Lepisosteus oculatus: one gene and its partners. The protein of the gene in region 2 interacts with the protein of the main gene of each other region in a biochemical or structural test. Links are inferred from orthologs where the notes say so. Each region holds a gene or a part of one and is shown on either strand. Other genes may lie near its edges.

Region 1 (7,730 bases), on a different chromosome or scaffold from region 2:
GGTTGTTCTGCGCGATCAGCCGCAGGCGGTCGGCGGCGTCCCGGGGGATGTTGAACGTCACGCGCACGCTGTTCCAGGGCTCCAGCCGCTGGGGCAGCAGCCGCTCCGAGTCTGCCCGGGCACAGGAGGGAAAGACGGGTGAGAGGAAACCACGAAGAAGCCCCGCCAACGCCCAGCCGCGGCCGGTGTGAGTGACAGAATTCGCAGTTAAGGCACTGAAAAGTAGGAGTTTGCACTGATGTTTTGTTTTATGTAAATGTCCATACCTGATGCTGGATTCTACTACTCTAGTCACACTATTACAACTTTCCACTGTTACCTCTGTACTTGGTTCTGTATAAAAGCATAGACAGATTGTGATCCAATATCGTTTTCCCAGTGAGATCAAATCTTTGCTTTTATCCATAATGTGGTGGGTACAGTGTATTTTAATTCTCACAATGCTATCGCGTTGTTGCTCACCTAGTTCCAGCATGCCTGGCATACTTTCTAAGAAGTTGTGCAGGTTCTCCTGGAAGTCTTCATCACCCATGTTGCCCTTAAAGGCGATGAAGATGTTGGAGTTGTTGTCCTGGCAGCGGGGCCGGGGTGAGAGGTCATGGTCATCCTCCACCCCAGAGTCCAGCCCCGTGTCTGGTTCGCCCACAGGTGCTGTCCACGCTGAGGGTGGCTCTCGGCCCTGCCAGTCTGCCATTGCCCCTCCTGTAGAGCAGCGAGGCTTGATCAAAACCAACCCTGCAGAACCGAGAGGCATTGTGGGAAGGGCTTGAGCTCAGGTTCACACAAGTAACAGCCAATCAGGTGCAGCACAAAAAAAGGTCAAAACAGACTACCTGACAACCTCACAGTGCGGCTCACAGGAGCTGTACAATGGGCCCAGTACTGTTAAGATCTCAATTACATTTATCAGCTATGGGAAAAAAAAACATTTCAGGAACAAAAAACTATTTTTAATGTTCTCATAAACATTCTAAATTGAATGAACAATTATTGCTCCTAAAGGGATGTCTTGCACATCACAAAGCTCATACACAAATACGACCACAATATAATGCAGCAACAATAACAAAGTTGTTTGGTGTTTGGACCACATTCAACGTCCAGTACCATAAGGGTTAAAAAACAAAAAATGTTCTTACAAAAATCCAAAAACAAAACTAATGTGATCCCTACCTACAAACATTTTAATATAGAAGAGTTGAACGCTTTTAGGTATAAAGGAAAGAAGTGATCTCTTAGTCTTTATACAGAAGATGCAATACCTTCTCCCTGAGGATAGGAAGGTATATTCTAAAAAGAGTGGAGGTGAGGGGTCATCTCAGATTTTATGTGCAAAATTAATAATATATCACTCCATTACTGAGTCCAGGATTGTGGAAGTAGTCTTGCCACCAGTCCTGATCACTTTGTTCAATTTATTTTTGAATATAGGACAAGGCACCTCCCCAGCTCTGAATACAAAAGGTTAGGCCTCTCTGTATAAAACATCTTATTACAAGGGTCAACACTGTGCTTTCTACGCTGCTATATCGGCCTTCATGAGCGGTTGGAAACATGACAGACATGCACCATCACAGCTTCCAAAGAAGCACCATCACTGAAGAAGAATGCACAATGTTTCTTCAACTTTTCAGATTATAGAGAAGTTCAATGCAATTTTCCTTCAAAAGAGGCAATCCAACTGAAGCTCAGCTCTTTGACAGAAGAGACTGGGCTGGACCACACAATTTGTGACATTAACTATAAAAATAAGAGCATAAAATGATCGTACCCCATGGTCATTCAGCCTACCTAAGCGAAAGAGTATTCAGAAACCTGAGTTTCATAATAAACCCCTTTCTTTTCAGCATTTTTACATGCAGAAAATAAATACCAGATACCAGCACCACACACGAATTCACACAATCTCGACCTCCAAGAATAAACTGAACAGATAACGCAAAAGCATGACAGACAGCAACTGACAAAACCGACCTTTACGTCTAGGAAAAATGAATAAACCCTGCATGGATTTAATAATTTAATAATAGAGTCAACAGAAGGAGTAATTATTCCTCCTCAAAAACAGTTTATCTTTGGCAGTAATATGACCAACAAGGAATGCAGAAAATGCATGTATATTCGTATTTAAACCACTATAACGAATCCGAGCAGCTTATAAGATAATTCAGTAACATTTAGCAGTCTGTGCACTGTAGTTATGTACAAGATACAAGAGCGGCATTATTGTACATCTTAAAAAGATCATATACAGGAACCATTTCTCACGAAAATACATTTCTTTAAAAATCTCAATATAAATTTGAGTTCAAGTAAAAAGAAACAAAAGCTGTGATCGTGACAGGAAAAATATAAGTTAGGGTTTTGACACCTTAAAATAATGGTTTGTAAGAATGATAGCACCCATATCAAAATGCTGCATATTTTGCATTTGCCGAGTAATTTATTTCCATCATTTCAAACATCACACACACTGTTGGCTACCAGTCTGGAGGAGATGCATGCGATGGTTACGGTGGAGATGTTATCCCAACGATGCGCGTCAGCAGTCAGAAGAAAACCCTTTTTGGTGACATTTTGGTTTCAACCTGCAGGTTTCCGAGACGCGAAGGCGTCCCCCCTGCTCGCTTCAGACCGAAAACCGTACGACAGACGCGAACTCGAACCCGAAAGGAGCGGATTTCGTTTTCCGCCCGAGATTTGCGATGTATGAACGCAACCATCACAGGCCCTCCGAGTTTGGTTTTCCGCCACCATGGATGTGCAGGCTATACACCGGCTCCGCAGCCGGAGATCTGAATCTCTGCCATAGTCGGTAAAAACGCCCTCGCTTTATTGCAGTTACACCTTTTAATCTTTTTTCTTTAAGCCAAGCAGAACAAGCACATAGGCTGGGTTTTAATCCTTACCTGATCACTCCATTGGAATCAACTCCTGTTCGGTAACAAAAAAAAAACGGAGCAGGCAGCCGTGACAACAACACGAAGCGAGGGGGGGGGGGTGGGCAGACACTAGACAGCCTTTTCTCGTTTTCGCCCTATTCACAAATCAATCTCCTCCTGCTTCCTGGCATGAGGCGTGTAGTGTTAGGCTGCGCAACTGGCGTAAACGAATCGTTCAGGGCGTCGTGCAGATTTGTCTTTTCGCTTGCCGTAGTTTCCGCCGATGGCGGTGATCTCTGAGCTAAGGAGAACAGGGGGAGAAGTTAGCTCCGCAACAAGGGACGAAGCTATTGGTTGTGAGCTGCTCTGAAACTCAGTAAACCGAAATTCTCTTTGACAAAAATCGAACCAATAATTGATTTTAGTAGTGAAGGATTTATTATTATAGCAGAACAGGGGGGTACGACTTAGTTCTGCATTTTTTTTTTATTCGCTGCTACACTGTATAATTTATTACCTAATAAAAACACGTCCGACGTTACCTTGTAAATTCACACTTCCGTGATGTTTTGTCGCTTCGCCTGTGTGTGTGTGTTGGCGTTGAGCAGCAAGAACAACATTTTGTTAAATTAATGTCTTGCGCACGCAAACGACTTTATTTCTTTTTGCACTTTGCTGTTAATGCTAATAATTGTCGTTCTTATCACTCGCAGCACACGAAAGAATCACAGACCGAACAGAAAATAGAAATGTTCCGTCCTCCAGCAGTATCAGCGCACTTCTCTTACCGTGGCCTGATACAGTAAAACTAGTTTAAAGAAATGCATGATTTCCTGACACTCTTTACATTGTCCTTATTGCTGTAATGGGTTATAATAATGGCATAGTCGGATTTATAACGCCTTATTTTGCCCACATGTATACAACCACTTAAACCAAGTTATACAACCGGTTTTCGGCAAATACGTAAATCATGATAAAGTAATGGAAATAAAAAAAACTAGCCACAGCATATGCCCTGATATAGAATTGTTTTAAACCCATCACCTGTGCATTCCAACATCGACATCAACCAAAGCGCATATAAATGCATATACTATATGATATAGTGCGTATAAATCATAACTACGTACAAAACCACAATGACCTTGCCTCACAGTTTTTGTGTTTCATTCTAAAACTAAAGCTTGGGTACCTTATCTGTGGAGTTAGCTTGGTCTCGCATCACACCCATGGGTTTTTGTGAATTATCTATTTCTCTCCCAACATCCAAGACACACTGGCTAGTTTAAGAGGGTACCTAAATTGTCCATGACCCACTTGAGCCACTGTGTGTCTGTACCTTGCAATAAACTAGTGTCCTGTCCAGTTTATAGACCTGCCAGTTTGTAGATAGCCTTCCGTTTCTGTTAATGGATTGTTGATGTGATTTTGTAACACAATACAGTATTTCTAGATAGTATTACTGTGCTTTTCCTGCTTAAGTGTTTTGTTAATTTCAGTAAAATATGTAATTACTCTTCACACTGCTAGTTTGTAATTAGAGTATAGATTGCTCAAAAGTAAGAACATATGCTTGTGAAGAAGGCAAACTTAAGGTAGGTAAAAAAAACTACATACTACAAAACACACAGTCTTGACATGTTTTATTAGAAAATCTGTTAGACCTTGTACATGAGATGAATGAACATTGACTGCTGGCAACATCATAATCTTTTAAGCATTATTTTATGGCAAAAAGGCATTTTTAAGTGTCAGCTTTATTAAAAAAATAAAGCGTCATCCAGTTTTGTGAACTGAAGGTTAGTAGCCTTCCACTACAAGAGTACTGTTATAAAATACAGTACATTGACACCTAGTTCATTCAGTCGTCCCTTTTCTTCCATTAAACTTGGCTTCTTTCTGATTGCTAAATACACATGACTAATGTGCAGAAGAACAGGCTGGGCAAACAACAGCACTAACATTTTGATATAACAAAAGATGTTCTGTTTTGTAATGCAAATGCAACATTACAGAATGAACAAAATGAGGAACGGGATTGATCCAAAATGGGATGTAATCTTTTTTGGATCAGTATTAGGGCTACAGATAACAACAGCAGCCAGAGCAGAGCAACAGCTGCTCAGAGCAGGAGTAGCGTATGAGAGGGTACCAGCAGAGAACCATCGATTTAATTGATCCAGAGATTTCTGAATAAACTCTGTTCAGCTAATTGACATGATGAACCTTGTTAACACAAATTCAAATATGACCTCTTTTTCAGATCTGTGAAAAGCTGTGTGTATAAGCAGAGCATTCAGAAAGTTGTCCTAGACATCTAATTTCTCACAATTGTCCTGTGATTTCTGCCTAAAAAGGGAATTTGTACTGTAATGGTCCCTGTTGGGTATGATTGAAACATTGTGTCCTAACGGTATGACTAAGCATGGCATGTCCTTCAAATGTACAAACTGTTAATCTTATTGTTAATCTAACTTGTAGCCCAAAAGGTTTCTCTTTCTTCCTTCAATTTAACAAAATTAAATTGTGTCTGTGTTTCATATAGTCGCAACCATCGCTGAACTGGGCCAGTAATCTCAGTGGAGTACTGTACGTTTGAAAAACAAGAGATCTAAATAAAGTGTAATCTCCAGGAACTACCCTTATCCCCCAACAATAACTGTATATACCACAATTATATTAAATCTAAGATAATAATTCTCAGAGTGATAATATCAGATTCTGACAACATACATTAAAACGAATACAGGGGTGATCACTACAAAACACATTACTTGTGATATCACTAGTTCATGTCCCACTGCATTTATTGACTAGAACTCTACTGTGCCAATTAAGCAGAGGGTATAATGCAAAGTAAATCCAAATTCCTAGGTTAATGTAAGTCTGTCATGGCTCCTAGTTGAACCATGTACAGTACAGTTTTAGTGTGTCAAAGATTAAGATATTAAAGTATGCTGTGTTACAGTGAAAACAGTACAGTAATGCAAGCTCCTTTATGGCACTTTGACTTGGTTACCTGGCTGGGATGGAGAATTAAATTGCCAACTGCATAAATAGTTTCTTAATATTTCTAAATTATTGATAATTTCTGCGGTAGACTTAGGGCTTGACCTTAACTGATCTCCAGATCTTAGTGGCAATTATTAACATAATCAGGGAGTCCTGTTGCATAGCTGACTTCAAGTAAAAATTACTAGTTACTAGTTTGAAGAAGAAAAACCGATTTCCTATTTTAATTGTGTATACATAAAAAACTAACCATGTAACATTACAGACATTTCTAATGTTCAGTGTAAAGTTAGGGTTTTTCCATTCATTATACAAATGTTATGAAACCATAGCCTGTCAAATGTTTGCATCTCTTTCCATGAAAGTCTGCTTTTATACCTATTGTTTCAGTCTGCAAACTTTTAGCAAAAATGAAACTTCATTCTCAGGTACTAAAATGACATCCTAAGCATACTGTACCATCACTTCAAATATTGCATTTACAGTGTACATTCAAAGCATCCTTCTGGACATTTCTACCGGCAGTCAGCTACGATACCTTACATTCTGTTCTACTGATAATTTGCCAAAATCATCCCGTAAGTGGCACAAAATGAAGCAGTACATTACATTACAACAGTAGCGGGACGGATGTTTTAAGCATGTCATGATTCAGTCATGTGAATTTCCATCTCCAACAGGTCCGGCCCCGATCAAAAAACCTCTTGGACAGATTTTAAAAATTGACCTTCTGAATTCTGAAAAGCAAAAAATGCACTTTAGATAAAGCTTCGCACTATCATTACGGACACCTGATGGGCGCACGGCGGATGACAGGAAATTCTCAGCAGCACATGACGCCCCTCTTTTGATACAGGGCAGGGTGGAAGGAAAGGGGGTTCGTGTCAGTTCTTGGGGTTGGCCTGCATTGATGGTCAGTGGTATTTACAGTGTAGCAAGTGAATGCTTCTGACTAGACAAGACTGCAACGGTGAAACTGCTGTGCAACATGCCCTGTGAATCTGGCAAGAATCTACAATAAATATCGAATCGTGCACCTGTCTGCAGGATTAGGCGAAACAGCTGGCCCCTCCCTAAACTTGCTGACACTTCATGCTCCCCCCCGCCTGTGACCGGACCCCCTCTCCCCTTAGGGGGTGGTAATGGCAGAAGCATCGAGATTTCGGGGATCCTTCACGGCGATCATGAGGTCATTCGTCCTCCTGGTGCCTTCGACCACTGACAGGACGTCTACCCTCTTGACATTGTGTCCCTTAATCTGCAGCAACTCCACGTCTTCTTCGGGGAAATCACCTTGGAGACAAACCCACAAAGGGAGTGTATGAGATATACACACAGAAAGGCATTTAAATATTTTATGATGTGCTCAGGCATTGCAGCCCATACTGCCCTGACGTTTTCCTACAAGCAAGTAATTGTACTGCAGCGTTAACCCAAACTTTAAAAGCGTTATAAGCATCCATTACTTCAGCATCAGAAAGTTGCTCACTTCAAGTAAGGGTGGCATCAACCCCAATCCTATGCCAGAAATGTAGGGCTCAAGATGGGACTACACACAACATGGGTGCCATTCAATTATAAGGCACTGACACACACCAGGAGAAATGATTAATTTAGAGACAACAATTAACAGAAAAACTGTGCCCACCGAGGGTGGAAAGACGTCAGACAAATGGCTGCAGAAAACTCCCACAATCACAGGGAGAACACACAAAACCCACATAGAAGGCGTCCCAGCCCAGAACTGAACCCAGGGCCTAAGAGCTCTGTGGCAAAAAGTTTTTCAAAATTCCAATTAAAAACACACTCTTATCTTTTCCGAGCAACAACAAA
Region 2 (7,203 bases):
TAAATCTTATAGGTCGGGCAGCGTTTTAATATAAAAGGCTGATATCTGTACCACAAGTATGGAAGAATTGAACAATTTTGTTCAATTGTGTTGTGACCAAGGCCACTGTGCCTTTAAACCAGGCAAGCAGGTCCTTTTTTTCCTTTCAGGCAAACTGTGTGCGAATATTTCTTTCCATGTTAAATTAATTAGAGTGGCTATTTGTCCACAGTTTGCCTTCTGGGAAAAAAAGGACATATCACTCTGCAAGCCAGCAGCCATATCACTCTGCAACTCACAACTGGCAACCCACTGAAGCTAAGCAGGTGTGAGCCTGGTCAGTACCTGGATGGGAGACCTCCTGGGAAGAGGTGTTAGTGGGGCCAGCAGGGGGCGCTCGCCCTGCGGTCCATGTGGGTCCTAATGCCCCAGTATAGTGACGGGGATACTATACTGTAAACAGCCGCCGTCCTTCGGATGAGATACAAAACCAAGGTCCTGATTCTCTGTGGTCATTAAAAAAATCCCAGGGCATTTCTCGAAAAGAGTAGGGGTGTAAACCCAGCGTCCTGGCCAAATTCCCATTGGCCCTTACCAATCATGGCCTCCTAATAATCCCCATCTCTGAATTGGCTTCATTACTCTGTTCTCCTCCCCACTGATAGCTGATGTGGGGTGAGTGTTCTGGCGCACTAGGGCTGCCGTCGCATCATCCAGGTGGATGATCCAACATCTTTTGTTAAATGCACAGTGGTGGTGGAGGGGAGTCCCCATTACCTGTAAAGCTCTTTGAGTGGAGTGTCCAGAAAAGCGCTATATAAGTGTAAGCAATTATTATTATTATTAATAAAACTAGGCCTTAGAATCTGAAGAGACCCTAACCCTAACCCTAACCGAAAGGCAGATCTCTTCAGATTCTAGACCACTTTCTTGTTTCATAATACTGTACAAATTGGAACTGAAATTCAGTACACGTCTAATAATGCTAAAGCATCCAACATCTTTTGTTGAATGTCTGATTATATAAACTATTGAAGCAGCTGTGAAGTATTCAAGTGATGCACACCACATGCTACCTTAAGTGGCATTGCTGAAAGTAAAATGAGCTGTGTTGTTTTTTGCAAACTATAGCTTTTATGTAGTTAGAAGTTCATGCAATTAGCAATCTTATAGATTACATTGTTTTTCGCCATATTTATTAGGAAAAAATGAAACCTTTACAGTAATGCTTAATGTGAAAGTGCTATTTATTTTAAAGCAAAAAACTCAGATAAAGAACATGCCTTGGGTTCCCTTACAGTCCTGTTACCAGAGTGATTTAATACCACAAATAATTATTGAGTCTTAGTGAGAAATTAGTGAACTATTTTAATATTTTCCTTTTTAGGTCACTAATACCAAATAAAATAAAGGTATCCATAAAAAGAGTACACTAAAACACTACTGCATCTAAACGTGATTGTGAGTGAGGTTCAGTGTTCTGATAATATCCAGGGAAAATTAGAGCACATGAGCAAAACTTATTCTTGATTTATCTTCCTGGCTGTATAATTGCACTGCACTAATCCTTGAACTTTAGAATGATGTAATCATACAAATTCCCTGGATTATATGAAACAATCCACAAGAAAGAGACAGACATCAGTGTGAAGCTTAAAAAAACAATTTGTCAAAGGAGCCAGTATTTCAAAATCTGTTTCATTATATGAGTGGGAAACTCCTTCACAGTGACCACAGCAAATCTCATCTGGGACTATTCGGCTAAAATAATAAATCTTCAAAAACTTATATTAGAAGGCAACAACAAATACAAAACGAACTCATGGTCATGTTTTTCTTCCCTTTATGAACTGAGACTGCTGCAGACACTGATAATTTGAATTCTTGGCTTTTAACTAGATGTTTGTTTTTTATCTCTTAGTTCTCTTGCCTGTTTCAAAACTACTTCTGTAATTTTTTGGCGCTCTTAACAAAATCCTCTCGAATCTCAGTGAAGAACTGGAGTATTACTCCTGTTGTAACCCGTCATGTTCCTACATGACAAATACTGACACTAGTTCCCAGACACCCTTGAGTCCCTTTCTGATTTTATTGACCCTTACAGCCAGAGAACAAATTACAGGAGTCGGCTCGAACGTGAAACACGACTCGACTGAACTAATCGTACTTTTCTTTAAAGTTGTCTGGAGCGCCCATTGAGGGTGGATCTGGTTGTTTGAAAGCATGAGCAGTTTGAGAATACAGAACAGGGGCAGCTGCGATCTGGAAGCTGAAAAACAAACCGAAGGCAGCTTACCTGAAAAGAGGGGTGGTGGCAGCTTCCCTCAGCCTGTAGCTGCCCTGGTCACTCTCCAGGTAGTAGGGCAATTGCTGGCTGTGGTGGTGGGGGTGATGGACAAAAGGGGAAAGCCGAGGGTTGGAAGGCACAAACACCAGGGGGCTCGTGGGCACGCTGCCCAGGGAATGCAGATTGGCATCGGAGGCAGAGCCATGAGTGTCCACAGGTGCCGAGTGGTAGCTCACGGTGGTGGGGTTGTAGATGGGGGTGGCAGCGGGGGCCGTGGTGAACTCATAGGTGCCATCCAGGTAGTTGACAGCTGTGCTGTTCCTGTTGTCCTCCAGGTACATCTCGCCCAAGGCTCTCTCTGGGGCCAGCTTGACAGGTGAGCTGCTGAATGCTTCCAGCTCTCTCGTTTCGATCTTGTGCAGCAGAACTAATCCGGGGGGCTTGGTGTAAGGCGGCCTAGCCATGATCAGAGCAAACAGATAATTAGCATGGTTTGTTTTCTTTTTTTCTTTTCCTCCCAGCTCCCACCTAGCACTTTCAGAAGAACGTGATCCTCCTCACTCTTTACAAGACGAAAGCAGAGTGCACAGCCGGAGCCTGCCAGAGATCATTTTTGTTTTCTTATATGTGTGCGTCTGAGAGAGAGAGTGAGCGTGTGTCTGTGTGAGTGTGAGCGCTCTCGTTGCTATGAAAAGATTTTCCTCCCCCTACACCCCAACCCCTCCGACACATTCACAAACCTTTTTATAGTTTTTAACTGGTAGGTGGAGTGAGCGAGGAAACCTGGAGTGAGATATTTCACAAAAAGAAGAAGAAAATAAATCAATTGTAACTTTTTACTCCATGTCAGCATAGATTCATATCAATGACACTGGCATAAGGCCAGTCAAGGCTGAATTACACTGGCATTGGTTTAAATGATCACTTCAGGCACACGTAATTTAGTGAGGTAAGTATTACATGAATATTTTACTAAATCATACAACAAGGACAATATGTGGAGCATAAATGGCCTGGATTCAACCTGGGATTCAAGGTGATTATGTTCCTTCTGGAGGCCACAAGTGAGTCTAGGAATCACTGTTTACGTTCAACACGAACTCCTGGAAGTCAAAACTCACTCCTCAGCTTAACCTGGTGCTGAGGAGTGAGTTTGCCACGCACTAATGACGCCATGGTAACAGCTTTTCACATCTGTGGTGGTCCAAGTGGTTACTGCTTCTGATTTTACAAATATTTTTAAAAGATTACAAATACAATTTACTGGGCAGAATATTAATCTACAAATCTGAAATTCACTTTGCAATTGTAAGACATCAATGGTCGCCACAGGAATAACAGTAAAGCAACAAAACATAAAAATTGTTGTAAAGTACAGAATATACTCTGAAATCCATGTGTTATTCAGGTTCATGAGTCTCAGAGGAAGGTACCTTCGTTAACAGGTGAATGAGGATTTGGTTCAGCACAACTAATGAGGTATTTTTTATCAGCACCAAGGGGTGCTCTCTTGAGCAAATACTAAATTATCTTTTTTCAGTTTGCTGTTAAAAGGAATTCCCACTTAATACTTTTAAATATTACCAGGACACTCCCAGGTAACTTTAATTTTGGTTCTCTAATTTTAGTAAACCATGACATCACTACTGTGGTCTTGAATGTGGCAGGTAAGACTTTCTTGTGTGCAAGCTCTTCTGCACTTTTTATCTCTCTTTTTGCATTTGTTGTTAATTGTTTCATCCTTGTTGAGATTCGGTTTTAGAAAATACATTTAAAAATGTGGTAATTCTATGAAATATACTGAGTATCAAAAATAACATCACTCAATTGCACATATTTGTAAATACAATTTAAAAATGTTAGATATTGATTTAGAGCAAGTGAGAAGTTACAAATGAATGGGTGCAATTTGACTCATTTGGTAGTTAGTAATTAATTAATGCAAGGATCTCATCCAGATATTTCTTGAAAGAAGTCTGGGGATGGACATCAGCAACATAGCTCGGTAGCTTGTTCCATACTCCCACAACCCTTAAGTATTTTTGGTATTTTTAACTAATTTATCAGTCATAACCAACTGCTATATTTTTGAACGACTTTGACTGTTACATAAACACCTAATTAAGCAATTAATCACCTCATTAGTGAGAGATGGGTAGGGAGATGAGATGATTTAACCTTGACTGTCAAGAAAAAGCAAGAAAGATAAACACAGAAACACAGAAATCAACTAATGTGGCTTGCTTTTTAAGAGAACATATTTTAATTATTTCTTGCACGTATACCAAAAAAAGAAAGTCATAAACATTTTAAAGAGGCTAGAATGGGTAAGAAGCCAATAAAATCCACAAGGAAGATATCAGAGAGGTTACAGAACCAAAAGGGAAAAACAAAACAAAGGATAAGTCAATTAAATATTTGAACATACAGTCAATGTAAGCAGTGTTGGAAAAAATACATGAGACAGATGCGACCAAATGAACAGGTAATTATGATGTAATTGGAACTGCAGATATGTGGCTTGCCAAAAATGATGGAGATAAAAGTGAACTTAGTGATTACATACAGCAGGAAAAACATGAGAGGCGTGTTGTACATGCGATTTGTATGACCTCATTTTACCTTTTGTAAAAAGTGTAGTTTCCGTATGTGTTTTTTTATTTCTTACTTTTTTTTTAGTTTGCTGTAAATGGAAAAGTTTTACCATAAGAAATGTTAAACAAATTGTAACGGGTGGAAGATTAAACAGACCCAGAGGAGTGTTTGGGTATTTAGATTCCCTGGTAGTTGCCTATGTGTGCTGTTTGGAAATGGCAAGAATTTGTTCAAACAGTGGATTCAAGTTCAGGAACTAAACCAAGAGGAATCTAGGGTCTCTAAATCTATGTGTCAGGCACATAAAAACATTCTAACAGGGTAGTGTTAAGACTATGCTATTGACCAGATGGTATATATATATAAAATTAATATATATAAATATATATATAAAAAATCCAGATGGTAAATATAATTCAACATTGTGTAATGAAATTAAGAATTTATTTGTAAATCAAGAACATTTTAATGGGAGACTTCAACTTTTCCCATGTAAATTGGAAAAATCTATATATGAGAAACTGAAATAATAGACTTAGTTAATGACTGCTTGATTACTCAGTTTGTAGGAGCACCGACGAGAGAAAACATTCATATTGATCTTGTGTTATCAAACAGAATGAGGTGAACAGAGGTGAGGAAACCATACCTAATGGCATTAGGAAATGAAAGGAAATTAACATTTGACATTTACTCTGAAATACAGAGTTTACAATTTCAGGAAAGAATGAGACACATCTTAGTATGTACTGTAAGAACAGGATGGGTATGGAATGGATAGTAACAGTTTGAACAGATTCCACCTGAAGCACAGAATAAATATACTGTAAGAGTATATTTCATCATAAACCAAGACACAAATGATTAAAAAACAAGATAATCTCTTTAAAAAAGGAATAAAATGAATTGAAAGCCCAGATATAAAAGGATATAAGAGCTGATGAGAGAGATGGAAAGAAACATTTTCAGTAAAAGGTTCTTTCAGTACTACACCAGCACAAAAACCAAAGGATTAAGTAAAATGTATCTGAGAAAATAATGGAACTTCTAGGCAATCAAAAGGAAATTATGTACTAAACGAGGAAGAAGTCAACATTCCTCGGGCAGCAGAAAGACAAAGTTCTTCATTAAGAAGAGTTAATATCAAAAATGCTCTAACCACTCAAGATTAATAACTCCAGCGGTACTCAAGGAAACAAGAGATGTTATCCCTATGCCATTATAAGCTTCTTCCAAAAGTCCTTTCAGAGAAAGTTAGTGATGTTAGACTGGAGAATTGGTAATGTAGTGCCCATTCAATAAAAAGAGTGTCAAAACTGAACCAACTAATTATAGACTAGTATGTCTGACTACTATTAAATGTAAGGTTATAGAAACAATTACTAGAACTAAACGAGAGGATAACTTCTATGAGAACAAGGTCTTAAAGGATAATCAAGATGGATTTAGAAAAGGCAGGTCTTGCTTAGCTTACATGTTAGAGTTCTTTAAACAAGAAAAAACAATAACTGATACACACTAACACACAGATTATACAAAACATTTTGTTAGAGTTTCAAAAGCTTTTGATTAACTTCTTTACAAAAGATAATTTTCAAAATACAAGTGGTAGGCATTGAGGAAAATGTGTGTGGTTGAACTGAGAATTTGTTAATAGAAAACAGAGACAAGGGACAAATGCTCAAACTGGGGTAATATAATCAGTGGAGTACCACAGGATCTGTACTACGAAAGCTATTCTCCCTTATTTATATCACTGGTGTAGATTCTCCTATAGTTATCAAACTAGTGAAGTTTGTATATAACTAAATATAGTAGTATTAAAAAATAGATAAATCAAAAGACTGGCAAACATTTCTGGCTGATGAGGTTGTTTATGATGATGAACTGTAAATAAAAAAATAACATATGAAGAATACTTAGGTGTTTATGTTGACAAATGACATGCTCAAGACAATTCGAGGAAGAAATAAAAAAGGAAAAATAGAATTTTAGGATAGTTAATTGCATCTAATCAAGGGATGTTATCTTAAAATCGCATAATACACTAGAAGTGAGAAAAGAGCAACTAAATTCATTCTTGGGCTTTAAAGTCTTGAACAGAGAGGACTATGGGAAGACCTGATACCAGTATTCAAAATCCTGAAATGTATTGGCAAATTCATCCCAGAAGAGTTCTTCATAAAAACAGAGAAATGTAAACCAGAGGACTCAAATGGAAAATGGAAACTGTGTGAGATTACTCTTATGATTGAAAAGAGGTAGCATTTTCTTACCCAAAGGGTTGTGGGTTTAGGGAACAAGCTACCCAGCCATGTGGTTGAAGTCGATACCCTGGTTTT
Region 3 (7,008 bases), on a different chromosome or scaffold from region 2:
AGTTACCCTACATTAATCACCTTAAACACAATTTTGTAAGATGATCGCAGTCGTTATGTTAAAGTCAGGCATTAAAACGCTTTTGCCACCTAGAACGATTAGTCACAAACCGCACTAATATCGTCAGGCGCCGTTCATTTCATGTATCTTTCCCTGAAAGAAACAGCCTCTCACCTCATTTAACCTTTGTCTCGGAAAGCACTGCCTGGAGTTGTCTTATATTTGCCAAAAGTGTTGTTCCGCTTCGAATACCTACCGATAGAGGCCAGCCGAAGTACAATTGTATGTATGTGAGAGTATGTGCATACAGCAATATGAAACACCCATTCAACAGAGCAGGGCCGAACAGCATTTTTAATAAACTTGAGCGCAAAGAAAGCCCTTACACTAACGCTCAATAAAACCACAGACAGCAGCTGAGAGCTGTTCAATGTTTCTGCCTATTCACTGTGACATCCGTCTCCCCTTATAAACTGCTAATTCCCGCTTCAGTAACTCTTAACTATCAATATGAACAAATACTTTTAAAAAATGTTACGAAGAAGTTAGATTAGGTTTATGATAAACAAGAATATTCAATTTTCATAATGTTAGTTTTCTGCTGTGCCTCGCCATTAAACTTCAATAACAACCCTTTGTGTTTTCTAAAGTATGTGACGCTATTGTTAAATAATATATGTAAACATCTAAGATTGCTGTGAAGGTGATTTTACGAGTCATTCTCCGAGAGCAGAAAAGCTCTAAAAGACGAGCAGGAACCTTACCAGGAATACTGCACTGCTGCACAGCACGAATCCCTTACAAGATCTAGCTACACAGTAAAATAACCGCAAATAAGATCTTCAAAACGCTGTGATTTCAATTGTCTACAGGCATGATCAGACAGAAGCAAGTAATTTGGTTCTTTTTAACATGCCCATTATCTTCCTAATCGATTTCAAGTTAGAGAGGCAGACAGTTCTATTTTCCGATATGAACAACTGTCTAATACCCTATCATTATGCGGTAAACCCATTATAAAGTCATAAAAAGTAATTGACTTTTTAATACTTTAGTTTAGAGTCGGTAGATAATTACAATCATTTTAAGTGCTACTTCGCATGCAGAATATTAGAAAAGCAGCAGTATGGATTGCTCCTGCGTCCGAAGAGGAAAAATGTGTTAGCTCTTCAGTCTGAATTTCCAGTTGCTGCTAGTTGGCTAGTCCTCAAGGTATTGTAATCATGAGTATATCACGAATACCCCCAACCCAACAACAGAACCGCTTAAAATTTATTTTCTTAATTTATTTTAAAAATAACACGGCGATTATTTCTGCCCTCGATTGTAATTGTTAATACAAAAAAAACAGGAGAAAACAGGGTAAGTGTATTGCATAAAAGTTCAAAGAAAAAAAACACCGAATTTGCAAACTAACGCTCGGAGTGTGTTTTCATAGTATGAGCACATAATGGTCGTGCCCCCAACGTTTTCACTAACTGTGGCACAGGTCGTGCTTTCGTTGCTCCTGCTACACGCATTTTCTTCGAGAAACAACACCCCCTCACACCCGCACTTAACTCTCATTAACTCACTAAGCAATCTGATTGGCGCTATTCACGAGTTTTACATTACCCATCCACACATGACTCTGGGTTAGCGTGAACTTTCTTTCAAGATTATCCTTTTGGAATTTCACACTCAAGTTGGATTTAGAGGACGTAATCCTACTGTACTTGCAAAAATAAAAAAAACACAACAACGCTATCGACCTGGGGAAAACCACAAGTCATCGAGTTAAATTGCCAGTTTTCCCTGGCCCACGCTGCGTGTGAGCATGTTTGTAAACAATGAAAGCAGACAAATCTGTGTAGCCTAATTACCTCACGCAGAAGACTTTTCATCGGTGTTGTGCTGGTGCATCTCTTCATACATGTGTTGTGTAATAATATCTGGATGTTATCTTTGCAGTTGCAACAGTATAAAGTACCAGAGGAAGTAGACTCTGTGAGCAGTTTAATAACAATATCAATAGCAATGCTAATAATGCTGACCATCGTAGGAAAATACTTTGTGTTCTCTAGTTATAAGCAGTCTTTCGGAAGGTGCACAGAGGCTTACAGTGCACTCTCTGCCTGCTCTTCTTACCTTCCAACCGGCGGAGCTGTTGCTGTCGCCCTTGTCCTTGAAATAGGGAACGCTCTTTACCATCCAGTCGTAGATCTGCGACAAGGTGAGCCTCTTCTCGGGGGAGCTCTCGATGGCCTTGGTGATCAGGTCGGCGTAAGACATATTTCCCCATGCATTTCGTCTGGAGGAACTGCTCTTCCTCTGAGCAGCGGCTACCGAGGAGGCTGAGCCAGCCGGCGAAGACAAGGGGGGCACCTGTTGGTGCGAGAGCTGCTGGCCCGGGTGCTGATGTTGTTGCTGGGGCTGCTGGTGGATGCAATTCTCCTGGCACTGAAAATCATTACACAAAACGAGCGGCTTCTGCTCGGGGTAGTCTTCAGTCTCCTCCAGCAAGCTCAGGTTGTTGATGAAGTCCACATTGCCGCCGGGCTCTTGTTTGACAGAAGGCGCCGGCGACGAATTGTTAGAGTTGGTAGGATTAATAAACTCGGGTCGGGGCAGCGGCCAGGTGCACGACCGGGGCCGTGACAATGGCTCGAAATCCGGATCAAACTCCACCACTTGTTGCTGCGGAGCTTCAGCCATAATACCAGGAAAAGTATTATCCCACTCTCACATAGACCTACGCTAAGGCACACAAGCAGGATGAGAAAAAAAAGAGGCAAAAAAAAACTTCGTCACTTCACAAACTTCTACATATAAAAGTCACAAAACGGAGCCGAAGCGAGTCATAGAGATGAGACAACGCTGGAAAAGAGCTTTTAAAGGTCTGATGAAGGCTCCCTTTTCTGTCGTTGGTCTTGACAAGTTTTGTTTCGGCTGTTTTAAAATCCAGGCTTAAGAAGATCGTATTCGTACCATGTCTGTCACCCCCAGTTGTTGCTTGTTGAATGTTGCTCTGCTAGACTGGCGCAGCGGACTTACTGGAACTACCCAGGGAGTCAGCTGATGCCGCCCACCTCCTGAGTGACACCGGGCGGCAGCCAATGCCCAGTGAGCATCAACAAGCGAAACGCTCACTTTTTTTTTCTTTTTACGGCCAAATATTTCCTCCTTTTTTCCAATAACTTTGTTTTGGTTAATGACATGTAGCCGTAAAACACGGAAAATTGCGGGGTCGGTTTCGCTGGTATCGCTTGTTATTCTGCGCGGCCTCCTATTTCCAGCGCTTTGCAAAATCATCAGAAAGTTATGAGTTAAGATTTTAGAACTCGGGGGGTGGGGGGTTTTGACAGCTGTCATTTTATTGTTTATGTCTGTTTAATTAACGAACTTGTTTATTGTTGATCTATTCCGTCACTCAACTTCCTTTCTTAAATTTTTCCTTCAGCTTTTTTAAGGTCACATTATACCCCGCATGCAATAAACAACAACAACAAAAAAACATTTTACTAGTTGTTAGCATTTATTGCAGAGATAAAAATATATCCTCAAGTGATTTAGAATTGCGCATTTGATAGAATTCTGTGCATCAGTTTATTTTTCTCAGAATAATAAATTATTCTACCCTTCAGATTGTCCAGTGCAATCTGTTCTATAATAACGCACAACGGGGTTTTGTTGCTAAACGCCAAATTGTACTATTAAATATTTGATTTTTTAATCAAATATTTAATAGTACAGACAAAGTAGTTCTAGAAAACTTTGTTAGATATGGAGATTAGTTCTTGCATTTAAGCAGATGGTTATTTAAAACTATTGAAACTCGCTGCATTGGTGCTTTGATTCATTACCATTTAGAGGTGCATGCCATCAGGAGCCACGGTAGAAACATTACATATCACAAAGGTTATCTCCCGTACATTTTAGTCGGCCTGGCTATCATTCGGAGAAATTAATGCTTTTTCTTAACTAATACAATTGATCAGCTTGATAATTGGTCATAACAGTTTTAGAGGACGCAGGCAACCGTGTTTTAGCAATGTGCGCTATTCTGTGATCTAAGATCCCAGAAGAAAGCCTTAATGAATTGTGGTAGCGGTGCATCATTTTAGAGAGAACGTTCCTGACTTTACAGCAAAACTAAATCTGACTTTAAATGCATCTTTCGTCAATGAATTGCAGGACAGAACAAAATCCTATTTAAACAGTGGATTCTGTACAGTAAGGACTCTGAAGTTCTGACACCGTTGTGTGCTGTAGGGACAATAGTTGTGTTGAACGTGTTTTGAAGCACTGAAAAATTAAATATCATCCCAATGGAGTAGAACTATGTCCAACATACGGTGCGGATTGCGTTACTGATACATTTTCTAGGTGACGTTCCATTTTTTTGTTACTGAATTATGCTACTATATTATATTGTTACTATATATAGCTTAATACCAATTTAGGTGTTCCATTTTTCAAAAAATAAATCACTATTATCATTACCGTTGTTGGTATTGTAAATCCCAGCGTTGTGTGCAAGCCACATCTGCACCCAATATGTCCCCGGAGTCCCAATGTGTGCGTAGCATTTGCTAATCCATGGTTTAATAGTAGCCTGTTTATTTTTAAGGAAACCTTGCTGTGCCTAAACCGTTAAATTTATCTGGAAGTTACAGTAGCTAACCCCCGCTTTGACAAGACAGAAGCAGAGATTCAATTGTCTCCCACATGACACTGTCATATACCGCAAAATAAACTACAGTAGGAATGCACCTGTTCTCGGCCATTTAGCTGGCGACCACGATTTAGAGACCAAATTGTTCAAATGGAGAGAAAAGGAAAACAAATAAGGGATTAAGGCAAAAAAATCTTCGTATAGAGCCACCTCTGCCACCTAACGTTGGAGCACGAGTATGTTTGATCTTCACTACTGACAAGTTACCATCTGACTTGAACAGCGGTATTTCAGGACGCATGGAAAGTTCAGGCTTCACAGCTCTAAAGTGTAGAGCGTCCCGAAAGCAGGATTAAAATAACGTTCACATCTTTAAATTGATACGTTTTCTCTGTCTGGAGTTTGGCAACGTTCACCTGCTTGTCGGGTAGTAAAGGCATTATTATGTCCATGACCGGGAATGTAACGCATTTAGTATCTGCCCCTCAGATAATAAGATGTTGAGCGCTCGAGTTGTGCGTACGCAGCAAGTTGCCTAAACAGAATAAAACGGCATCTTATGTCACACTGGAAATATAAGGAGTGTTGCAGACAAAGCAGTCATAGGATTCGTCACTAATTTTTCTTTGTGGGGAAAAAAGCTATTAGTGGCTGGAAGTAAAGAGTCTTCATAGACAGTCTACTCTGATGGAAAGAGATAGTTATTAGGTTGCAACGTAATTTCTGGACATCTATGGCCGGGTGTGTCCGGGTGTGGTAGACCACTGTAGCCTATTGTAGTTTACAACTTGCACGATGTTTGCGAGCTAAACGTGGTTGTTTTCAATATGCTAAAAATGTGTGTAAAGCCAGCCGTAAACTATGAAAATTAAAATGGCGTGCAGCTTCCCAGTGCAGGCTGAAAGAGACAGTTATTAAGAGTTAACAGCAAATTAAAGTTCAAAAAAGGTGGACTGCTTTGTTTGGGTGTGGTAAACCATGGTGGCTCCTGGCAGCCAAAAAGATTTTGGTTTTTCAGGGCCTTGTGACAGCAGTGTCTGAAGCATTTGAGTGAATTGCTGTTTTGAAAGAATCATTGAAAAGCAAGCTAGCTACCTGACTGTCATTAAAATGACAATTAAGAACAGTTCAATTATACCAGTAATTTACAATTAAGGTATCACAAATGTTATATTAGTAAAGGGTATTTGCTTAGCAGAGGGGCATGGTGGCACAGTTGTTAAGATTGTTGCCAGACAGCACTGAGGCCCTGGGTTCCATTCTTGGCATGCTACCGGCATGGAGTTTGTATGCTCTCACTATAATAGTGTAATAGTACGTTAATTAGCTTCTGAGAAAATTGGCCCCGTCTTGCACCCATTGCTTGCTGGGTTAGGCTGTGGCCCCCCCACAACCTTGAATACCTGATGGAAAAGTGATTCCAATGGCTGGAAGTCTTTGGGCTTTGTTGTGATCAGGTCTAGTTGCAAAGAGGAGGAGGACTGTAATTATAATTAAGTCAGTCTTTGCTTACACTTATAAATCGCTTTTCTGGACACTCCACTCAACCCGCTTTACAGGTAATGGGGACTCCCCTCCACCACCACCAATGTGCAGCATCCACCTGGATTATGTGACGGCAGCCATAGTGCGCCAGAACACTCACCACACATGAGCTATTAGTGGGGAGGAGAACCGAGTAATGAAGCCAGTTAATAGATGGGGATTATTAGGAGGCCATGATTGGTAAAAGCCAAAGGAAAATTTGGCCAGGATGCTGGGTTTACACCCCTACTCTTTTCGAGAAACGCCCTGGAACTTTTAATGACCATAGAGAGTCAGGCCCTCGGTTTTATATCTCATCCGAAGGACTACATTCCTTAATAGTGTTTGCCAATAAAACCATATACCAGCTCCACTGAGACAATTACATTATTTTGCTTCCTAAACCAGAGTAATACCTTTTTTATCACCTATCAGTGGTGCCTAATCAGATCTCTGTATTCAAGGAAAGACACAGATATGTTTCCAAGTACAACTTCTATCAGATTTTTGTCAGGTTGCTCCTCCACTAGGCCTAGACTAGAGGTGACAAGGTCATGCCTTATGAGATGGTTAAGGTTTTTTCAGAAAGAGCACATTTCACCTCCAGATTGATAGACACATGAAAACCCATTGATTGGTGGCTCTTGAGGACCAAAGCTGAGAACCACTGTTAAACACTTAAAAAACACACCCTCAAAAGGAGTAAAAAAAACACTTCCTGCCTGATAATAATAGAACAGAAATGAAATTGAAATTAACATCGGGTAGTTCTTTCCAAGACCAAACAAAGAAAGTTTCAAGATAAATTAATTTTGAAAATGTCAAAGTAT
Region 4 (7,117 bases), on a different chromosome or scaffold from region 2:
CACCACCCTTGATTTATTCGAAACGACCGTTCACGGCGGAAATTGAATTCCTCGACAGGTAGAGAGAGGTTGTTCAGATAAGTCATCGCATTTTTCTTTCGGGCTCATTCAAATTTCGCTTTAGTCCAGATTTTGTATGGTTCTCCAATCCGACTCTTTTGAATCGGCCGTGTTCACTTTTTTTTTTTTGCCGCTATAAAAAGACAAAGGGGTATCAACACATTTTTATTAAACACGTTTTTCATGACGTGTTACAGAAACTTTTTTTAAAAAATATATAATTTATTCACATACACTCATGCACACGGATTTTTTACGGACGTGTTAAAGGAGTTTTTTAAAAAAAAAAACATAAAATAGTGATTCGGATCAATAAAGTGACGTTTTTCTCCAAGAAGATTCTGTTAAGCCAACAAAACCAGGTTTGCCCTTTCAGCTGAAAGATCTATATCTAAATCATAACATCGAAAGCTTGGCACAGCGTATGAGAGATACGCCAAATTCACACACCGAAATGATCGAGTAGTGAGTCCCCTCTGTAATACAGCCAGGCTGTTCCTCTCAAACGATTTTCTGCGTATCGTCGCCGTTTGAAACTCGCAAGGCGAGAATGTCTCTTTGCTCACTTCGCATGATTTTAGCGGACCTTTTTGCCCAAGTTTTAGACCATAACATGACAGTTTTAATAGCAGGACATGACGTGCGTGTTCCCAGGTAGAGTGCACCAAGCTCTCTGTAACACTGTCCCCTCAAATCAGCGGCTCCGCGACGGGTGTTGTTGAGTTTAAGCAACCTGAGCTCCTGTATCCTCGTTTATCTGGCGAAAAGCATTTCGGCGAGTAGTTCTAAGAGGTCCGCCTGGCCGATGACAGGTCTGAAAAAGAGCTCGGTGATGAGGCTCGGCGTGATGGTCTTGAGCGCGGAGGCGGTGAGGAGGATGCGGGCGAAGCGGCCGCGGTCTCCCGGGTGGAGAGGGAGCAGCACCTCGCGAAGAGCTCTCTGGGCCTCCTGCTGCATGCTCTCGATGAACAGAGACGCTTTCAAGCCCGGGACATCTGAAAAAAATAACCGAATTGAAGGCGTTTTTAAACGTCTACACGCAGTCAGCCTTAATTCGAATTATGGGGTTGCAAAACTGTGCTGGTTAGATACCACCGAGAACGCACTAATCTCTCTCCCGAAGCGGGGGAAAACCAATCAACTCTATTAAGTGTTTCTCCTAACTACTACACGTATGAAACAGAAGGGTTTACATGTGTAGTTTATCCTTTTGCGACCAAGTAATGGCAAATGATGCCAACACCCGTTACGGACGTGTGCTGTAATACCCACAGTGTCAGCAGTTTGAAAATGTGGTACAAACCCCTTCATAACAGACTTTCCCCGCTGGGGGCTGCCTGACGAATTGTGTTCAGGAAACGGTGGCCTTTTTGACAGCTTGGAAACAACGACTTCAAACGCGTTGGTCCGATTCTTGCGAAGTAATTCTGTGCCACTTTACCATACTCATTTTTTATTTCCTATTTTAACTTTCCCCCCTTCAAGAGAAATTAGCTAATTCTGCACTTTATCCCAGTGGACAAGTAATGAATGTGGCTTGTAGACCTAATTAGGTAGAATTTCCTTTTTGGGGGGGGGGAAATGGGACTCTTTTGGGCAGAAGATTTATAGTAGTAAACGAAGGATGAAACTTTGGGCCAATGTCCATCAATGTGTAATTTTCGAAACAGCCTTTTCTTAAGCCATGTCAACAAGCTATTTTGTCCGTTAAAAGACATTAATAAGCAGGACATTCATCCACTCATACATTCCAATTAAAATACTTAGTGTGGATTCCTTACTAACTAATCCATCTACCAACAATTATGTGAGAAAACTATTCGGGAATTGACACTTATTACTTTATTTAACCCGTTGGTACAAGAAGATCAATAAGCACGGTGATAATAATTCGCTAGTATACTTACCGGGGTTAAAAAGAATCGCTCCTTTCAAATAGGCGTATTCTTTTGGACTCATATCCAGGCTCCAGAACTTATTGACGCAAGACTTCAGCTTCTGTACGGCGTCCAGCGTGGGCTGCGCCCTGTCCGAGTGCTCCAGCCGGGTTTGGTCCTGGTCCTGGTCCTTGAGCAGGATTCTCTTCAGCAAACTGGCGGCCGGCGTGTCCGTCACGTCGAAGGCCACCCCTTCCTGCGCCAGCCCCAGGATGAACAGCGGCGCCCAGCCGCTCTGCAGCAGAGCCAGCTGGTCCTTGAGTGGGAGCTGGTAGAAGGAAGGCAGGTTCTTCATGAAGTGGATCGTTTTGACCAGCACGCCGGAAGCTACCTGGCACGTCTCGTCCGGGTTCTTGAGGCCAACAGTCCGCCGCATCTCGCAGTGGCAGCTGTGCGGAGACGTGATGTAGCTGTGGGCGAGGTGGTCGCTGTCCTTGCGGCTCAGAATATTGTAAAGGATGGCGTTGGACTGCCGAACACTGAAGCCGGAACACTGGCATCTGTCGCTGGGCTCTTCGAGGCAAGACATCGTTTACTTAATCTTTTCAACTAAACGAGGCTTAAAAGAATTTGGTACGGTGAACGCGCAGGTAGCCTGTAAATCGCCCTTGCGCGCTGTACCACTTGGCCGCGCAGCTACTTAAATGCTTTGGATCAGAAAAGCTCTGTCCGCCGTGCGTACGCCTGTCTCCAGCTCTGCTGTCCCAGACCTATTTATAGAGGCTTCCCCCTAAGGTACAGCAAGCCAGCCTTGACCCTAGCTGAATAACATTTGCTCACTGAAAAACAACATGACCCTGGACTGCTTGGCTCAGGTAGGTTCGCTCCACGTGGAGAAGATAAGGTTTTCTCAATGAAGATCGGCGGGTTGATGGTACAAGGCGACGTTGGGGTGGTTGGGAGTAGGTCACTTATCTTATTTACTTCAGCCATTAACCCAGCCTGTACCAAGCTACCAAGGACTGTGGGAGTAATCAAGCAGACAGTATATGGCCACTATCGCTGCCAGCTAACACCTAATGAGCTGGAAGCCAGCCAGTACAAACAGTTAAGATATTATGCATGTAAAGAGCTGTCTGATGCGTCCTTGAGTAGTATATCGCCTCTCGCAGATGCGAAATTATTCATTTCAAACCCTTTTCGGCAACCTTAAAAGGTGCTGAATACGAACTTAAAACTGGAACTGTTTTCCTCCGAGTATAAAATACGGAGCGATAGAGATTTTGGTTTCAAGAATAGGAGACGTCACATCCATTGACTTCAACCCAAGGGGATAGGTAGACGTTTTGAAGAGCTACAATGCATAAGTGATACTGTTGAAAATGCAAGATATTCGTGATGTACAGAAAAATCAATAGGAAAAAGAATCACCCTGAAATGGATAGATGGATTACTTCTGAAAGCTTAACAACATGTAAGAAATTTATAAGGATTTATAATTGTATAATAGAACACCAAACGACGTGTTTTGTAGGAAAAACAGGAAATTCTGAAGTGAAAATTCTAAATATAGTTTGTTATGAGAATAATTATATTAGGTTAATAATAATGCTATACTATATAATATTCGGTACTGACAACTCCCCCGTTTTAATCTGATAAAATACATTATTTTTATTCATCTTGTTAAATTTAAAATAAGCTTGTACCTCCATCCCTGTTCAATGCAAGTCATTCTGTGAACAGCATATATCAACACATTCAGTACAATATATGTGTGAAATAAACTGTTCAGAACCTTGGTATAGGCAGTCCAGTATACAAACCACAAAGGGCATTGATTACTAATAGACTTGTATTTTGCAGATATTATATCTGGGTCAGGAATAGACACTGAACTGAAGGTCATTTGTATTTTTCAACTGCTTAACTAATCAGCAGAAATTAAGGTTGCGTCATCATTTCCCTTGACTGAGTCTGAGACCTCACATTTTCTTTTTTGACACTCATAAATGGTGAATTATTCTGTTTCAACTAGTCCAAGCAATTTGTTTTTCTAAAAACTCGTACCTTTATACACTAAGGAGTTTTAAGGAGTGTTGTATTAATAATCACACTTGACTGGTGTGATGTACTAACCAGCGGAGCGTCTTTTTCAAAATGAAAGAGAAGTACAGCACAATTCTTACATAGCAGTTGAATTTTAGATTTTCCTTGGTGTGAAACGTCTTGGTGAATGGGTTTCACTTGAAAGAACCACTGTTAGATTTTTGTTCAGAGAAACGGGCTTATTGTAAGATGTACTGTAAGGTTACTAGATTACAGCCAGATTACTTGTTTCTAATTGAAGAACTAAGACAGCACGTTCAGATGATTTTTCTTGTCTGAAAAACATGGCACATTGGCCTGCTTACTATTTTCTCTTAGTGTGGGATCTTTCTTTCTTTTTGTATATTCTTTTTCTTTTGTATTTTAAAAATGAAAACTCCATTAAAAAAACTGCATCAAGGTTGAGTGTGAAGCAGTTATTGAAGTAGTTCAGGTGGGCAGCTGCGTCACCATGCGTAGGCTGCAAAGGAACAAGTGATAGGTTTATTCCACGCTGAAAAGAGAAGAAAGAAAACACAACGTTGCAACTGTGGAGCCTCACTTGGGTGTGACACTCGAAGAAGGCTCCACAGCCGAAACGTTGTGTTTTCTTTCTTCTCTTTTCAGCATAGTTATTAATGCAATTACATTATGCACATTTTGGGCATAAAATCATTGCTGTCTTCGGAACGTTTTAGGAGGTTCAGTTGGTGAAGAGTGAGACCAACAGAAATAAAGAATTATTCTCTTGTCCCCTCCCTTGGTTTTCCAACAATGCTGCACCTGTGGATTAACGCACAACTCCTGGCGCCAATTCTCCTGCTGGGCACTCCTGACTGAATGCCATTCATAATCAGATTACCATTTCCTGATGGTATAGTCAATAAAAGTGAGCTAATGCAAACAGCCATCATCCCAGAAGGAAGGCTCTGAATCAGAGACAAAGCAGTAAAGTATCCCTTTTTTAATCTCAGTCGTGCCTAGCACAGAGCTCTTCTCCTGATAAGGCAATTGATTTATTGGGGAGGAACAAAACTCAGGAATTGCAGCAACATAGTGGCCTTTCACCAGTGTTCCATTCCATCTGGGAAAATGCAGATATGTTGTTCTGAAAACCAAAACATTTAAAAAAGGATATTTAAATTCACTTGCTAACATTCGTGTACATTGATTTTACTGTAATTACTTTGTTCTCTGTATCCTGATGTTGTCCAACTACAGCACATTAAATACAGCACATTTTTTAATACAGCATATTAAAAAAAACACAAGAACTCATTACCACGGTCATTGTTTCTTAGAGTCACTTTTTACTTTTGGGGAACAAAAATACATTTATTTTTCTGACATTGGTCACACGCAATGATATTATTTTTAGGAGCATTAACTAACTCTCCAATACTACAGCTATTAATATGTACAGTATATCTGGTGAAGATTTCATTCCAACCTTAACCAGCATATCTTTCTTTTACCAAGACAGAATAAACTAACATGTCATCAAGAAAAAACACCTGTACATTTACAGTAGAATATGAAGTGGGCAACTACAGAATGCATCACAGTAGCTTACCATTAGGTCCATTGTTTTTTGTTGCATACGTCTCTGATATCTTGAAGATTAATGGATTGAATATCAATATGTGACAAAATCAGCTACTGCATAGGGAAGTAGTCATCTTGGATGGAGACGAGAGGCTCTTGTCATAAAATTGTTTTCTATATTTTATTAAATATGAAGTTATTTGGTAGTTCTATTAACTCAATGTGAGTATATTATTGCTGATGTAGTGACTCTATTTATGCCTTTACCTAGAATAATAATTTTAAGCTAATGTGGCTATGTTATCAGGTACATTAAGAAGTTTTAGGAGGCACATATCACAAATGTCCATTGGTGGAAAGCAGGCAATTGAACAGAATGCTTTCTAACTTTAAGCCTGCCTGATTTGTGCTAAATATAGCATGGACTTTGACCAGTGCTTCATACAAAACAGGTGGGAGAAATCAATGAAGCCAACCTCAGTGCAGAAAGCACACAGACCTGTTTACCAAGTGACATCCAGGTTATCACAGGACTCTGCACACTGACTGGATTAACTGTGCAACATACCGTCGGAATAAACAGGTCTGTCTCACTGTCAGCTGACTGGTAAGTAGTGCCAGGACAATGCACTGAAAACATCAGCACTGCAAACTTCACAGGACAAGCCTCCTTTCATCTAGATCATCGAATCGCTAAATTACAGTCCCACAACAAGCTATACTCTATATATTATGCCTCTCCCATGAATATTTTTTAGGACAGAGAGTAATCAGAGATATGTTTTACAGTATGTAATATGTAATCAGTATTACAAGACATTAAAAGACATATTTCAGTAAAACTTGCATAACCATTAGAAAATGTAGTTAACAACAACAATTATTTCCTGGGCTTCTACAGAGTATTCACATCCATAATTGACGAGGTGTGTCAACATATTTGACCAACCTCAATTCCTCATATTTAAGCTGCTTCACCTTTCTTTATCACTTCCAGGCACGTTTCTTAGTACTGGAAACAGCATTTTCAAGCAGAAACAACATACTGAAACCACTTCTTCCAGTTGAGGATCACAGGGGGGAGCAGGAGTCTATCCCAGCAATCAAAGAGCTCAAGGCAGGATACACCCTGGACAGGATGCAGTCCATCACAAGATAGACACACAGACACACTCACACCAGGGCCAGTTTTCCTACAGTTAACCTACCAGTACGTTTTTTGGACTGTGAGAGGAAACTCATAAGAACATCAGGAGAACACATAATAAACTCCACACAGAAAGAACTCCAGGCCCAGAATTGAATTCAGGGCTCCAACACTGCAAGAGAGCAATGCTAGTCTCTGTGCCACCCATGACTTAGTAACTTGTATGTAATATTCAGGTAGTAGTATGGAGTAGCAGTGCTCTGGACTGTAAACCAGAGTGTTATGGGTACTGCTTCCAGGTTGGATGTTGCTGTTGTAACTTTGAGCAAGGTACTTCACTCAGCACACTGCAATAAATGCCCTCTAAAATGGGTCATCATTATAAATGGTCATTTGTTCT

The links.
Region 1: the proteins of esr1 (region 2) and ncoa6 form a complex in vitro, tested with the Homo sapiens proteins (4 studies listed by BioGRID). The link is inferred for Lepisosteus oculatus from reciprocal best matches to the Homo sapiens genes ESR1 and NCOA6.
Region 3: the proteins of esr1 (region 2) and forkhead box protein O1-A form a complex in vitro, tested with the Homo sapiens proteins (2 studies listed by BioGRID). The link is inferred for Lepisosteus oculatus from reciprocal best matches to the Homo sapiens genes ESR1 and FOXO1.
Region 4: the proteins of esr1 (region 2) and nuclear receptor subfamily 0 group B member 2 form a complex in vitro, tested with the Homo sapiens proteins (2 studies listed by BioGRID). The link is inferred for Lepisosteus oculatus from reciprocal best matches to the Homo sapiens genes ESR1 and NR0B2.

The regions. Positions count from the first base shown.
Region 1 is NC_090711.1:6,898,404-6,906,133, reverse strand, and holds the start of ncoa6 (nuclear receptor coactivator 6), read right to left. Parts: upstream 3,012-7,730; 5' UTR 2,910-3,011; intron 736-2,909; 5' UTR 695-735; coding exon 463-694; intron 112-462; coding exon 1-111. Other genes in the region: glutathione hydrolase 7, read right to left, coding at 7,027-7,190. UniProt on the Homo sapiens protein: Nuclear receptor coactivator that directly binds nuclear receptors and stimulates the transcriptional activities in a hormone-dependent fashion. Coactivates expression in an agonist- and AF2-dependent manner.
Region 2 is NC_090697.1:48,520,507-48,527,709, reverse strand, and holds the start of esr1 (estrogen receptor), read right to left. Parts: upstream 3,004-7,203; 5' UTR 2,731-3,003; coding exon 2,276-2,730; intron 1-2,275.
Region 3 is NC_090700.1:16,813,361-16,820,368, reverse strand, and holds the start of forkhead box protein O1-A, read right to left. Parts: upstream 3,025-7,008; 5' UTR 2,695-3,024; coding exon 2,128-2,694; intron 1-2,127. UniProt on the Homo sapiens protein: Transcription factor that is the main target of insulin signaling and regulates metabolic homeostasis in response to oxidative stress.
Region 4 is NC_090706.1:7,320,353-7,327,469, reverse strand, and holds nuclear receptor subfamily 0 group B member 2, read right to left. Parts: upstream 3,017-7,117; 5' UTR 2,527-3,016; coding exon 1,968-2,526; intron 1,056-1,967; coding exon 814-1,055; 3' UTR 343-813; downstream 1-342. UniProt on the Homo sapiens protein: Transcriptional regulator that acts as a negative regulator of receptor-dependent signaling pathways. Specifically inhibits transactivation of the nuclear receptor with which it interacts.